Linked DNA regions of Sus scrofa. The protein of the gene in region 1 interacts with the protein of each later gene in a biochemical or structural test. Links are inferred from orthologs where the notes say so. Each region holds a gene or a part of one and is shown on either strand. Other genes may lie near its edges.

Region 1 (7,077 bases):
GTTGCTGTGACTGTGGCATAGGCCAGCGGCTATAGCTCCTTTTCAACCCTTAGCCTGGGAACCTCCGTATGTTGGGGGTGCAGCCCAAAAAAAACAAAAGAAAGAAAGAAAGAGACAAAAAATTAAAGCATGGTATTACCCACTCACTTGAACTTTCCCTGATCAAAATGGGGTGCAGCCCAAAAAAAAACAAAAGAAAGAAAGAAAGAGACAAAAAATTAAAGCATGGTATTACCCACTCACTTGAACTTTCCCTGATCACCAGCTTGTTTATTTTTGGTGTTTCATTAAGAATTTAAAAGTGGAACCTACTTTTAAGAAATGATTACACGGGGAGTTCCCGTCGTGGTGCAGTGGTTAACGAATCCAACTAGGAACCATGAGGTTGCGGGTTCAGTCCCTGCCCTTGCTCAGTGGGTTAATGATGCGGCGTTGCCGTGAGCTGTGGTGTAGGTTGCAGACGCGGCTCGGATCCCGCGTTGCTGTGGCTCTGGCGTAGGCCGGTGGCTACAGCTCGGATTCAACCCCTAGCCTGGGAACCTCCATATGCCGCGGGAGCGGCCCAAGAAATAGCAACAACAACAACAACAACAACAACAACAAAAGAAATGATTAAATGGTTTTTTTTTTTTTTTTTTTGTCTTTTGTCTTTTTAGGGCTGTACCTGTGGCATATGGAGGTTCCCAGGATAGGGGTCGAACTGGAGCTGTAGCTGCCAGCCTACACCACAGTCACAGCAGCGGGATCTGAGCCGAATCTTCGACCTACACCATAGCTCATGGCAATGCAATTCCCAACCCACTGGGCAAGGCCAGGGATGGAACCCGCAACCTCATCGTTCCTAGTCGGATTCGTTAACCACTGAGCCACAATGGGAATGCCTAGAAATGCTTAAACTGTTAATGGAGTATCTCTTTGATAAAGCTAGATGCAGCTTAGACAAAAAACAAAGATTCTGTACTACTATACTGACCTCAAGTTGTCTCAGATAATCATAGATATCTTTCACATATTCACTACAAAGGTTTGGATCCCCTCCATCTTCTGCATCCACATCATTCACTGCAAGAATTACATCAGAGAAAGCCTGACACAAATATTCTTCTGCAGGGGCACAGCCAGATGTTTCCATGGGGCTTGGAGAGGGAGTATCAACCTGAAACAGATTTTGAAACAACAGTTAAGAAGAGCACACGGTCTGCGAATAAAGGTCAGATAACTGGTACCAACTCAAAAGACTACCTGCTGAATAGATATACAATTCATTTAGCTTTTCAAATTTATTCAGTGTATCTTCAGGAAATAATAGGAAAAGTAAAATGCCAACTTAGGCTGAGCCAATTTAGAGGCAGCAGCTAAACAGTTACAACAGAGAGGAAGCAAATTCATATTCAAGACTTTCCTCCAAATAAAACTGGTAAGTAATGGATCTGTTTAGCGATGTCATGTGAAGTTAATCCAAGTGAATATGTTAATCCTTAGTCTTTATTTCAAATTATGGACTGTTTCCCACTGCCCAAAAGAACACAAGTTCTGTTCTGACTACTAAGGATTAACTGACTTGTTATCACAAACCATTTTCCTCAAGCTCCAGTTACCCTGTGGTCCAAACATTGACTGAGCACTTTCTTCAAATCAAGCCCTGTGCTAGACACTGGCTTTATGATGTCCTCAAGAAGCTTTGAATTTAGAAAAAGTAAATGGGAGTTCCCGTCGAGGCTCAGTGGTTAACGAATCTGACTAGGAACCATGAGGTTGAGGGTTCGATCCCTGCCCTTGCTCAGTGGGTTAACGATCCGGTGTTGCTGTGAGCTGTGGTGTAGGTTGCAGATGCGGCTCAGATCCAGCGTTGCTGTGGCCCTGGTGTAGGCCAGTGGCTTCAGCTCCGATTAGACCCCTAGCCTGGGAACTTCCATATGCCGCGGGAGTGGCCCAAGAAATGGCAAAAAGACAAAAGACAAAAAACAAAAAACAAAACAAAGAAGTAAATGAAGTAAAGAGACTGATTCTGGGAACAAGAGTAGGGTGGGGGAAGTTAAGATGGGGATGGGGGAAGTTAAAGAAAGCTTTGGGTGTTGATGCTTGAGCTGTTATGAAGGATGAAAAGGTTATCAGTTACATGAAAGAGGGTGGGAAAAGTATTCTTGTAAGTGGGGAAGCAAAGGTTAGAATCACTATGGGACTTTTAAATGAAAGCTCAGGTCATGAGGTATGGTCAATTAAAGAGTGGGGGAAAAAAAAAAGGAACAAATGAAAACCACAAAAAAAATCCCATAAAACAAAGACTGTGCATGCTACAGTTTTCTGTGCTGTGTCCAGAAGGTCAATATTAAATCCACAGCCTCAGTCACATCCCCTTCCCTTAGACATACAATGAGGCTGAATGACTTTAACAGACCATTTCCCAACCAGCTTTAAGGAGATATTAAAAATTAGTACTTAAGAATGCAATTCATTGCAATTTCAGCCAAGCAGCCTCTTCTAGATGAAATATTTTTCCCTCACAGAAGAAGATACATTTAATATCTGATATTTAATAAAAAGTTCTTGGTGTTGAGGCCAAGTGTTAAGCCATCTTCTTACCCTGCTCTCTGAAGAGCTACATTTTCTGCTTTACACATTTATATATTTCGGTGTTGGCTTATTATTATTTGGTGGCCACATTAGGGAGTAAACAAAAAGGACTTAAAGAGAACAATCTGTGCTTCAGTCAACATATTCTGGTCAGAGATGACTGGTACCTTAAAGACAGCAAAATCTTTGGTCCCTGCAGCTACCACTCAATACCGTAAACAAAGGAGGGGTAGTAAAACAAAGCAATTAAAAGCACAGTTTCTGAAGCCAGATAGGCTGGGTTTGAACCCAATTCTGTCATTGACTAGATGTGACTAGAAGAATACCAGTGCTGAGTATACTATTAACGTGAGCTAATGCATGTACAGTGCTTAGCAGAACCTACTTCCTGTTAAGTACTATATAAATGTTACTATTACTACTATTTGTTCAAATGCTATTCCATACTTGAATAAAATGAAAGGAAACAAACAATCAACAGACTCTAAAATGGTCCAGAAAGTTTACCAAAATAGGTTCAGGGGAAAGTTTCTCTCCTTTAACAGGCTCAGGTTCTGGTTCAGGCTCCAGTTCAGGCTCGGGCTCCCTCTCTGGCTGGGGCTCTAATACAGGTACAGGAGCCTTTTCCAGAGGTTTCGGTAGTTTTTTAGCAACAACTTTTCCAGCAGCTAAAGTTTTTGCTTCCTGTGGATGAAAAGGAGAGAATGGATTGTTTCTCCACCAAGAGCCACAGCTGGAAGGGAGACACTCACAGAATAGTTGAATCAGCATAGTTACCTTTTTCAGAGGCAGTTTGGCCTGTGGCTGTTCACTGACTTTGTTACCGATGTCTCCAAGAGCAGTTCTTGGCCTCAGTCCGGGCTTAGAGGTTGCAGCAGAGGCCACAGGCACGCGCTTTGCGCCTGCCATACTGATCTTCGCCTTATTTTCAGCATTAATTTTCGTGTTCTGTAAGAAGCAAGACGAGTCTGGGAGTTGGCCCCGCCACGTTAAAATAAGTCAAGGGTTAAAGCGGGGCAAAAAAAAAAAACAACAAAAAAAACTGCGGCCCTCAGAAGGAAAGCCGACTGTGAATGGGTTCCCAGGGGAAACCGGGGTTCCAGGGTCTACGCTAAGCTTATGACAAGTCAGTTTTCTCCTGGAACCTCTCCGTTCACCTATTGAGGGATTACGTGCTCAGTCCCCGCCGGACCTAAAATACCATGGAAATCGAAAAAGCCTTCAATTGCAGGCACCTTCCCTTTCCCTCAGGGAAGAAGATTGCGCAATTGGTGGGAGCCCACTCGGGTCCTCCAACACCTTTTACAAAAGGTTTCCGGTCTACCCTCCATCTGCCCCCTCCCCCCAATTAGTCCAAGGCCCATCCGCTTCTCTTTTGCACCTTTCTCTCTCCGTCCGTCTGCCCCCCAAACTCTCCCAGTATGTTAGGGGCCCACCGACCGCCTTCCTCCTCTCCAAATTCGCTCCCACCGTGGGGGAACTCCAGCAGGGGAAACAGGGAGAGGAGACCCAGGAGTCAGGAGAGCCGCGTTTGTTCACCAACCGCAGCAGCTCACCCTGGTGATCCGGAGCGCCATGACTTCCTCTGTACCAGGCCAGGCAGCAGCTCAGAGGGGAGAAGCAGAGCACTGGAGCCCCGACCAGCCGGGGACCTTGAAGCCACCACTAGCTAACAGCCGTTCCTCCGCAGCACGCCGGGAGGAATCCGGCCCCGCCTCGGGTTTAAACCCCGCACCGCTCCCTCCTTATTGGCCTGTTCGTGGCACTCGCTCACTTCCCATTGGCGGCGGCCAGTTCCTCCGAAAATGCGTTTCCAAGGCGATCCCGCGAAGAAGTTCGGGCGGGGGCGGGGCCAGGCCGTCACGTGGTCTGACTCGGCGCCTGCGCCCTGGGGCAGCCGCTACTGCCACCTGATGAAGGGAGGGTTCTCTTTGCCCCACACCTGGAGCAGTGAACTTGTAAGCGACTAAAGTTAGCTGAGACAAGTCACAGCGGCCTTGGGAAAGGAAGAGTGGAGCTCCTTGTTTGACGTGAGGGGCAGTTATGGCTTTAGTCCTACTTGTTAAACACACTTTCCTCTCCTAGAGTGGCTTGTAGCAGGAAATACTTTTATATATACATTCTTTTTTCGTTTGTTCATTCCAACAGCACTCTGGGATAAAAAGGAGGCTCCGAGATGCTTTGGGTGACTCCCAGGATCACAAATTAGTAACACGGGATTGAACTTCACTTTCTTTGGATCCATGAGGTTTCCACACACTAATTGTCTCTTAATTTTGCAAGCCAGGCTGCCTCTTAACCTGCCAGATTACTTCAATCAAGTTGTTTCCCAAAGCCAATCTTTTTCTTTTAGTTTTTTACTTGAAAATAATTTCAAACTTACAAAAGTTTCAGACAAAAATGTAACAAGGAACACACATAGAGCCTTTATCCAGATTCAAATATCCTTAACATTTTTACCCCATTTGTTTTATGGTTTACTTAATCTTATATATAGATCTATGTATAACTGTATATAAATTTTTTTTCTTGGAAATACCTGTTGTGGCTCAGCAGTAACAAACCTGACTGGTATCCATGAGGATTCAGTTTCCATCCCTGACCTTGCTCAGTTGCCCTGAGCTCTGGTGTGGGCTGCAGATGTGACTTTGATTCAACCCCTAGCCTGGGAACTTACATATGCTGCACGTGCGGCCCTTAAAAAAACAAACAAACAAACAAACAAAAAACCACTTAAATATTTGAGGGTAAGTTATATATATCATGGCTCCTTATCTGTTAAATTTTTAGTGTGTATTTCCTAAGGAAAAAAGCATATTCTCTTAATGTAATCACAATAGAATTAGCAACTGCGTAAATTTACTATAACATTTTATTCAATCTAGTTTGTATTCTAATTTTGTCGCTTGAGCAGTTTCTAGCACTTTCTTTCCTCCAGTACAAGATCCAGCTAGGGTCAGTGTTGCATGTAGCCTCCTTTAGTCTGGAACAGTTCCCACAGCTTTCCTTTGTCTTTGTTTTTTTTTTTTTTTTTTTTTTTGTTTTTTGAACACTGATGGTTTTGAAGAGTGCAGTACTCCCTGCCACTTTTTAGGAAATAGAACTTTCTTATTTTTGTGTTTGTCTAATGGTTCCTGTGATTTACACCGAGGTTATGCATTTTTGGCTATTATGCCGTGGAGGTGACATCATATTCTAAGGGGATCAACTTTGCAAACATGTGGTGTTCACCTGTTCCCCATAAGGGAGATTAATTTTGATCACTTGGCTAAGCTTTTACCTGGTTTTGGCACTGTACACTTAGTTGTTTGCTTTTTTCTTACAACTAAAGTGTCTGTGAGAAGACACTTTAAAACCATGCTCCTCATCAAGTTCCCTTCGATTTCACCTCCCCTCACAGCAGCACTTGCTTAGGAAATGCTAACATTGTTTTCCCATTGCCATGGGCTCTCTCCAGCTAGCTGAAGCTGAGAAAGCACATACATTTTTTTTCTTTTTAGGGCCGCAATCGTGCCATATGGAAGTTTCCAGGCTAGGGATCAAATCGGAGCTGCAGCTGCCAGCCTATGCCACTGCTACAGCCACAGCAACCTCAGATCCAAACCAAGTCTCCAACCTACACCACAGCTCATGGCAAGGTTGGATCCTTTAGCCCACTGAGGGGGGCCAGGGATTGAATCTGCATCCTCATGGATACTAGTCAGGTTTGTTTCTGCTGAGCCAAAAACCACGTACTTTGAATGAATGACTCTAGGATACCAGGCCTTTAGCAGACCTAAGTGAATACCCTATCCTCACCATAGGAAATTCTTTTAACATGGCAGTTCTCAACTGGGGAACATTTTTTCTCATGGGTGGCACTTGGCATTTCTAGTTGTCACAATTGGGAAGATGCTACTGGCATCTAGAGGGTAGAGACCAGAGATGCTTTAAAACATCCTGCCAAGCACAAGACAGCCCGCACCCCATAGGCACACACACAGGTGATTATCCAGTCTCATGTCAATTCTCCGAGATTGCCAGACTTTAGAAATCTTGCCAACTATGTACACATCTGTGACTCATTTCTGTTAAGAATGTTGACTTTTGATGTTTAATTGATACAACTTTCATGGATCATCTCCTTTTTTAAATTTAATTTTTAGTTTATCTTTACGTATAGTTGATTTACTATGTTGCGAATCATCTCTTTTCTTTTTTTTAAATTTGTGTGACTTTTTGGAGGGCCACACTCATGGCATGTGGAAGTTCCTGGGCCAGGGACTGAATCTGTGCCATGGCAGCAACCCAAGCTGCTGCAGTGATAATGCCGGATCCTTAACCTGCTAGGCCACAAGAGAACTCCTGAAAGAACTCTTATATAGAGGGGAAAAAAAAAAAATTGGGGAACACTGTAGACAGTGGAGTCCATTGGATGAATTGAGGGTTTGAAGTATAGTGGCTTTTTATTGGCTGAGCTCTTACCAGGCAAAAAGAGGAGGCATCTTGCCTTACCATTGGGCA
Region 2 (6,294 bases), on another chromosome or scaffold:
TTGTTTGTTTTGTTTTGTTTTTTGTTTTTGTTTGTTTTTGTTTTTGCTTTATCTAGGGCCTCTCCCGCAGCATATGGAGGTTCCCAGGCTAGGGGTCGAATCGGAACTGTAGCCACCAGCCTACACCAGAGCCACAGCAATGTAGGATCCGAGCCGCGTCTGCAACCTACACCACAGCTCATGGCAACGCCAGATCCTTTAACCTACTGAGCAAGGCCAGGGATCGAACCTGCAACCTTATGGTTCCTAGTCAGATTCGTTAACCACTGTGCCACGACGGGAACTCCTGATAAACTCTTAAAGAGTATTTTATAGCCCTTGAATATAGAAAGTATCTCTTTTATTTTTAACTTTTTTTTTGTCTTTTATGCTTTTAGGGCAGCACCTGTGGCACATGGAGGTTCCCAGGCTAGGGGTCCAATTGGAGCTGTAGCCGCTGACCTATGCCAGAGCCACAGCAATGCCAGATCTGAGCCGAATCTTCGACCTACACCACAACTCATGGCAATGCCAGATCCTTAACCCATTGAGTGAGGCCAGGGATTGAACCTGTAACCTCATTGTTCCTAGTTGGATTCGTTTCCACTGCACCACGATGGGAACTCCTGATTTATTTATTTATTTTTTCCCACTTTTTTTTATTACTCAAATGAATTTATTACATCTGTAGTTGTATAATGATCATAACAGTCCAATTTCACAGGATTTCCATCCCACAACTCAAGCACATTCCCCCACGCCCCAAACTGTCTCCTCTGGAGACCATAAGTTTTTCAATGTCTGTGAGTCAGCATCTATTCTGCAAAGAAGTTCAGTCTGTCCTTTTTCAGTTCCACATGTCAGTGAAAGCATTTGATGTTGGTGTCTCATTGTATGGCTGACCTCACTTAGCATGATAATTTCTAGGTTCAGCCATGTTGCTAAAAATGCTGGTATTGGAACTCCTTATTTTTAACTTTTTTTTTTTGTGTGTGTGTGTGTGTGTGTGTGTCTTTCTGCCTTTATTAGAGCTGCTCCTGTGGCATATGGAAGTTCCCAGGCCAGGGGTCTAATTGGAGCTGTAGCCATCGGTCTACATCACAGCCACAGCAATGCCAGATCCAAGCCGCGTCTGCAACCTACACCACAGCTCACGGCAAGGCCAGATCGTTAACCCACTGAGTGAGGCCAGGGATTGAACCTGAAACCTCATGGTTCCTACTCGGGTTCGTTAACCACTGCGCCATGATAGGAACTCCTGTCTCTGTATTTTAACCTTATCTTTGCCAAGTCTCCCCACAGGAGTACTGTGTTCTAACCCTGTGAAACTATTTAGAATTCCCCAGATGTGCCATCAGAGGGATTTATTTCTCCCTCCACCCCCCCAGCTGCCAGGGAACTCCATTTAGGGCTTTACTTTTACACACTGTTGTTAATTTTTCAGATTCAGCTTAGGAGTTCCCATCGTGGCTCAGTGGTTAACGAATCCGACTAGGAACCATGAGATTGCGGGTTCGATCCCTGGCCTTGCTCAGTGGGTTAAGGATCCAGCGTTGCTGTGAGCTGTGGCGTAGGTTGCAGACATGGCTTGGATCCCACGTTGCTGTGGCTTTGGTGTAGGCTGGCAGCTACAGCTCCGATTAGACCCCTAGCCTGGGAACCTCCATATGCCATGGGAGCGGCCTAAGAAATGGCAAAAAAAAGACCAGAAAAAAAAATTCAGCTTAGACCTGACTGCTCCTGAGAAACTGTTCCTGAGACTGCTTTTTAAATGTAATCACAAAAGTATCATCACAGCCCTATCAAAAAAATGAGGAATCTCTCAATGTCATCATCTTATCAATTTTGCATTTCTTTTGTTCTATACATGCTTTTAATTTTTACGATTTGCACCCACGTAATCTCCCAGTTTACTTTTTGCGCAGATCGATTTGGGATGTTGCCTTTGGATGAGCCTGGTGTTCTTGTTAGTGAATTCTTAGATCGTTTTCAAAGCCTTTGTCACTTGGACCTCCAGCTTCCTTCCCTGAGGCCAGAGGACTTAAAAACTATGGTGAGTTGTCCTGTCTAGCATGCACTAGCCTTCAGTTTTCACCAGCATGATGCATTTATTTTAATGACAAGAGGGTGCCTTTTTTAAGATGAGAGGCTACTATAGATTTTAGCACCAAACTGTTAACGTCTGATTCCTGTTATAAATGTCCCCCTGTCCCTGAGCCAAAGCAAATTTTTTTCACCCTGTCATAGTTCTTTATTATTCTTAGAACAGAAATAAAGGCTGTAATAAGCTCTTTTGCTGTGTCAAAAGTAAATTCAGGAGTTCCCGTCCTCGTGGCTCAGTGGTAGCAGACTAGTATCCATGAGGATGCAGGTTCTATGCCTGGCCTCACTCAGTGGGTTAAGGATCTGGCCTTGCTGTGAGCTGTGGTGTAGGTCACAGGTGCAGCTCAGATCTGGCGTGGCTGTGGCTGTGGCTGTGGTGTAGGCTGGCAGCTGTAGCTCCGATTCAACCCCTAGCCTGGGAACCTCCATATGCTGCAGGTGTGGCCCTAAAAAGACCACAAAAAAATAAATAAAAAGTAAATTCATTGTCAGACCAAGAAATAAACAGTAGTCCGTTGTCATTATTTGGGTTTGAAGTTTACAGGTTTTAAAGTTAGTGTGAAGATGTGGTAGTTCTAGGAAAACTGCTCCATTTCTCAATCAGCCGACCCAGGGCAGTTCACCAAGCTTGTGTGTGATGACCTTAGCCTGTACTAGAAGTCAGTCTTCTCCAATAAAGAGAATTGCCTTCATGTTTGTCGGTTTTTTTCATGATTTTTGCTTTGTACCATCTGGGTACATCGTTATCTGTCACCTCTTTTTATGGTGGTTGAAACTTTAAGTCTTTCATCTTGGTTCCTTTGTAGTGCTTGACAGAAGACAAGATCACTCTTCTCCTGCACCTGCTTGAAGATGAACTTGATCATCGAACTGATGAGAGAAAAACTGCAATCAAATTAGGCTCTGACATCCAAGTCCACGTCACTGCCTGTATTCTTTCCGTGTGTGGCTGGGCGTGTAGGTTAGTGAGCTTGCCTGGGAACATGAACTGCGACGACATTCTTTCCCCATATATGTCAGTCACTCATAGTATGTGGCGATCACATGGTGTTTCCTGTGAGAAAAACAGTAAAAAAGAAAAGCTAAGGGGGTGGAGGGGGGACAATAAGAATTAGTAACAATGAGAATTAGAACTCAGGAATTCTTTTTTTTTTTTTTTGGGTCTTTTTGGTCCTTTTTTTTTTAAGGGCTGCACTCGTGGCATATGGAGGTTCCCAGGCTGGGGGTTGAATCAGAGCTGTAGCTACCTGTCTGCACCACATCCACAGCAACTCAGGATCCAAGCTGCACCTGCAGCTTACACCACAGCTCATGGCAATGATGGATCTTTAACCCACTGAGCAAGGCCAGGGATTGAACCTTTGTCCTCATGGATGCTAGTCAGGTTCACTAACCACTGAGCCACGACAGGAACTCCCACAACTCAGGAATTCTTGAACACACCTGGACTATCACTTCCCAGCTGGGAATTTGTGTTCCTATAAGTGGTGAAGCTCCTTATTAGTTTTAAAAAGGAAAAACCAGTTTAATTGATAAAAACTACCCAAGGAAACACCAGCTGGACTCTTCTTGGCCCCAAGCCGGTGTTTCCATTCCAGCTGCTCACTTTGGCACAGAGTCTTCTGAGACAGAAGACTGTCAGACCGATTTGGATTTACTCTAAATATGCTTTCTGTGGTAGCTTAAGGAGTATTTTTCATTTACAAGGAAAAAACTTTTAAAAGGGACAGGAGAAATTTCGAAAGCACACCTTTAAAACAGTCTGGCCATAGAGCACACACTAAGAGGCCTGGGTCTTTCCAGAGGAAATATGTGAGAGGTGATGAAGTTGGGTCCTGAGATCAGAGGACAGGGGCCCTGGCGGAGGTGGTTCCCCGTCCACCGGCCGTTACAGAGATCTGCTCGCTGAGGTTACGCACACTCGCCGACCATTGTGCTTAGGCCCTTGGAAATGTGACCCTCTGCAAAAACGCCCTTTCTTTTCTGTTCCTGCCCAGTTCTGCTCTGGAGCCCGTGCAGCTCTCCCTGATAACATGTTCACAGTGCATGAGGAAGGTGGGGCTCTGGGGCTTCCAGCAGATGGAATCCCTGGCCGACCTGGATGCCTCCTTCGGGCTGACCAGCTCCCCTGTCCCCGGCTCCGAGGGCCGGCCCGAGCGCTTCCCTCTGGTGCCTGAGTCTCCCCGGAGGATGATGACTCGGAGCCAGGATGCCACGTTTTCCCCAGGCTCAGAGCAGGTATAGACGTGGCTGGCTTGTGCGGGGTGGGCTTTTTACAAACAGCACTCTTGCCAGAGTGTTATTGGTGGGAATGAACTTAGATTAGTTAATTTAGGATAATCTTCACTTCTAATTACGTGGATCAGAATACTTCAGAGTGGTTTTATTCACCAGTTGCAGTGGAGATGCCAAATTCATTATTTTGTGTAGAAATCTAGTATTCTTTTTTTTTTTTGTCTTTTTAGGGCCACACCCATGGCATATGGAGGTGCCCAGGCTAGGGGCCTAATCGGAGCTACAGCTGCCTGCCTACACCATAGCCACAGCCACGCCGGATCCTTAACTCACTGAGCAAGGCCAGGAATCAAACCCTCAACCTCATGGTTCCCAGTCGGATTCGTTAACCACTGCGCCACGACAGGAACTCCAGAAAGTAAATTCTTATAGTTTATAAAATATCATCTTTTGGGGTTCTCTTGTGGAGCAGGTTAAGGATCCAGTGTTGTCACTGTAGCAGCTTGGGTCGCTGCTCTGGCACGGGTTCCATCCCTGGCCCAGGAACTTCCATATGCTGCAAGAGCGGCCAAAAAAAAAAAAAAATTAACTTTCACATGCTTCTAGAAATATTTCATTAATTCCATCACCTCCCTTCTCCTTCTTCAGGCTGAAAGGAGCCCAGGTCCCATTGTCACCCGAACTCGGAGCTGGGACTCTTCCAGTCCTATTGACCGTCCTGAGCCTGAGGCCGCTAGCCCCACCACCAGAACCCGCCCAGTGACCCGAAGCATGGGCACAGGAGACACTGCTGGCCTGGAAGTGCCATCTAGTCCTCTTAGGAGAGCCAAACGAGCTCGCCTCTGCTCCTCCAGCAGCTCGGTGTGTGCGCCTGCGTGTGTAGAGGTCCCTGAGCACAGTCGCACGCCAGGAGAAGCGGGCATGAGCCAGTCCTGTGGTTCTGAGGAGGCAATGGGAATAAGTTTACGGATGGGACAGTTGGGGGGAGTTCCCAGGTGGCCTAGTGGTTAGGATTTGGTATTGTCACTCCTGGGGCTCGGGTTTGATCCCTGACCTGGGAACTTCCAAATGCTGCAGGCACAGCCAAAAAAAAAAAGGGGGACAGTGACCAGAGAGGAAAAAAATGAAAGGCTTTGCCATTTGTTTCTCTGAGATGAATTCTGAGGGTATAATAAATGTGTCGGGCCCATGGGACGGCAGTGAGGAAGGGGGACAGACCTGATACGGTATAGGTTTACCCCGAAGGGAGGGAAAGAATTTGAAAATACTGAGAGGGAAATAACATTTAAAGCTGATTTAACGGAGAACATAAAATGAGAAATGTGGGAGTTCTGAGATTCTAGACTTGACAGCTAATAGCAGAGCCTCCCTGAGTTGACGTCGTATCTGCCCGTCATCAACACAGTTTCTCTTCCCCCCTCAGGACGCGTCTCCCCGAGGCTTCTTCGATCCCACCTCTCAGCACAGAGACTGGTGCCCTTGGGTGAACATCACACTTGGCAAAGAAAGCAAGGAGAGTGGTGGAGCTGAGGTGGATGCCAGCACCCCTGCAGAGCCGGGCTGGAGGGCAGTGCTGAACAGCCTCTTGGCCCACAAACAGTCTAACCAGCCCGCTGAAACCGACTCCATGGTAAGATAAGCCGTTGCTGATCCTGTGCAGCACTGGCTGTTTATGGGGTGAGGAGCAGAGGCTGGTCCTATAATTAGCACCCTATCTGCCCACAGCTTTCATTCGTCGAGGTAGACTCATCCTAAAAGAACAGGCAGGGGCCTGGTTCAGTCTTGCTGCCATTTCCCATATGGCATTCCACCAATTTCTGATAAATTCTTTGTCATCTTAACTCAAACGACTCAAAGCAGAAAAGGGGTACAGGAGCACAAAAAGAGGACTAGGCAGCTGCTCCAGCCTCGTGGGCAGAACAGCTGCTCTTTCCATCTGAGTTGCTCTCACTTGCACTTGACGCCTGGCCGGTGAAC

Evidence for each region.
Region 2: of the proteins of CCNB1 (region 1) and ZC3HC1, one has a biochemical effect on the other in vitro, tested with the Homo sapiens proteins (3 studies listed by BioGRID, with this or other methods). The link is inferred for Sus scrofa from reciprocal best matches to the Homo sapiens genes CCNB1 and ZC3HC1.

The regions. Positions count from the first base shown.
Region 1 is NC_010458.4:47,335,445-47,342,521, reverse strand, and holds the start of CCNB1 (G2/mitotic-specific cyclin-B1), read right to left. Parts: upstream 4,284-7,077; 5' UTR 4,152-4,283; coding exon 4,131-4,151; intron 3,523-4,130; coding exon 3,352-3,522; intron 3,259-3,351; coding exon 3,082-3,258; intron 1,157-3,081; coding exon 974-1,156; intron 1-973. UniProt on the Homo sapiens protein: Essential for the control of the cell cycle at the G2/M (mitosis) transition.
Region 2 is NC_010460.4:18,752,802-18,759,095, forward strand, and holds part of ZC3HC1 (nuclear-interacting partner of ALK), read left to right. Parts: intron 1-1,904; coding exon 1,905-2,032; intron 2,033-2,888; coding exon 2,889-3,043; intron 3,044-4,079; coding exon 4,080-4,320; intron 4,321-4,965; coding exon 4,966-5,178; intron 5,179-5,740; coding exon 5,741-5,947; intron 5,948-6,294. UniProt on the Homo sapiens protein: Required for proper positioning of a substantial amount of TPR at the nuclear basket (NB) through interaction with TPR.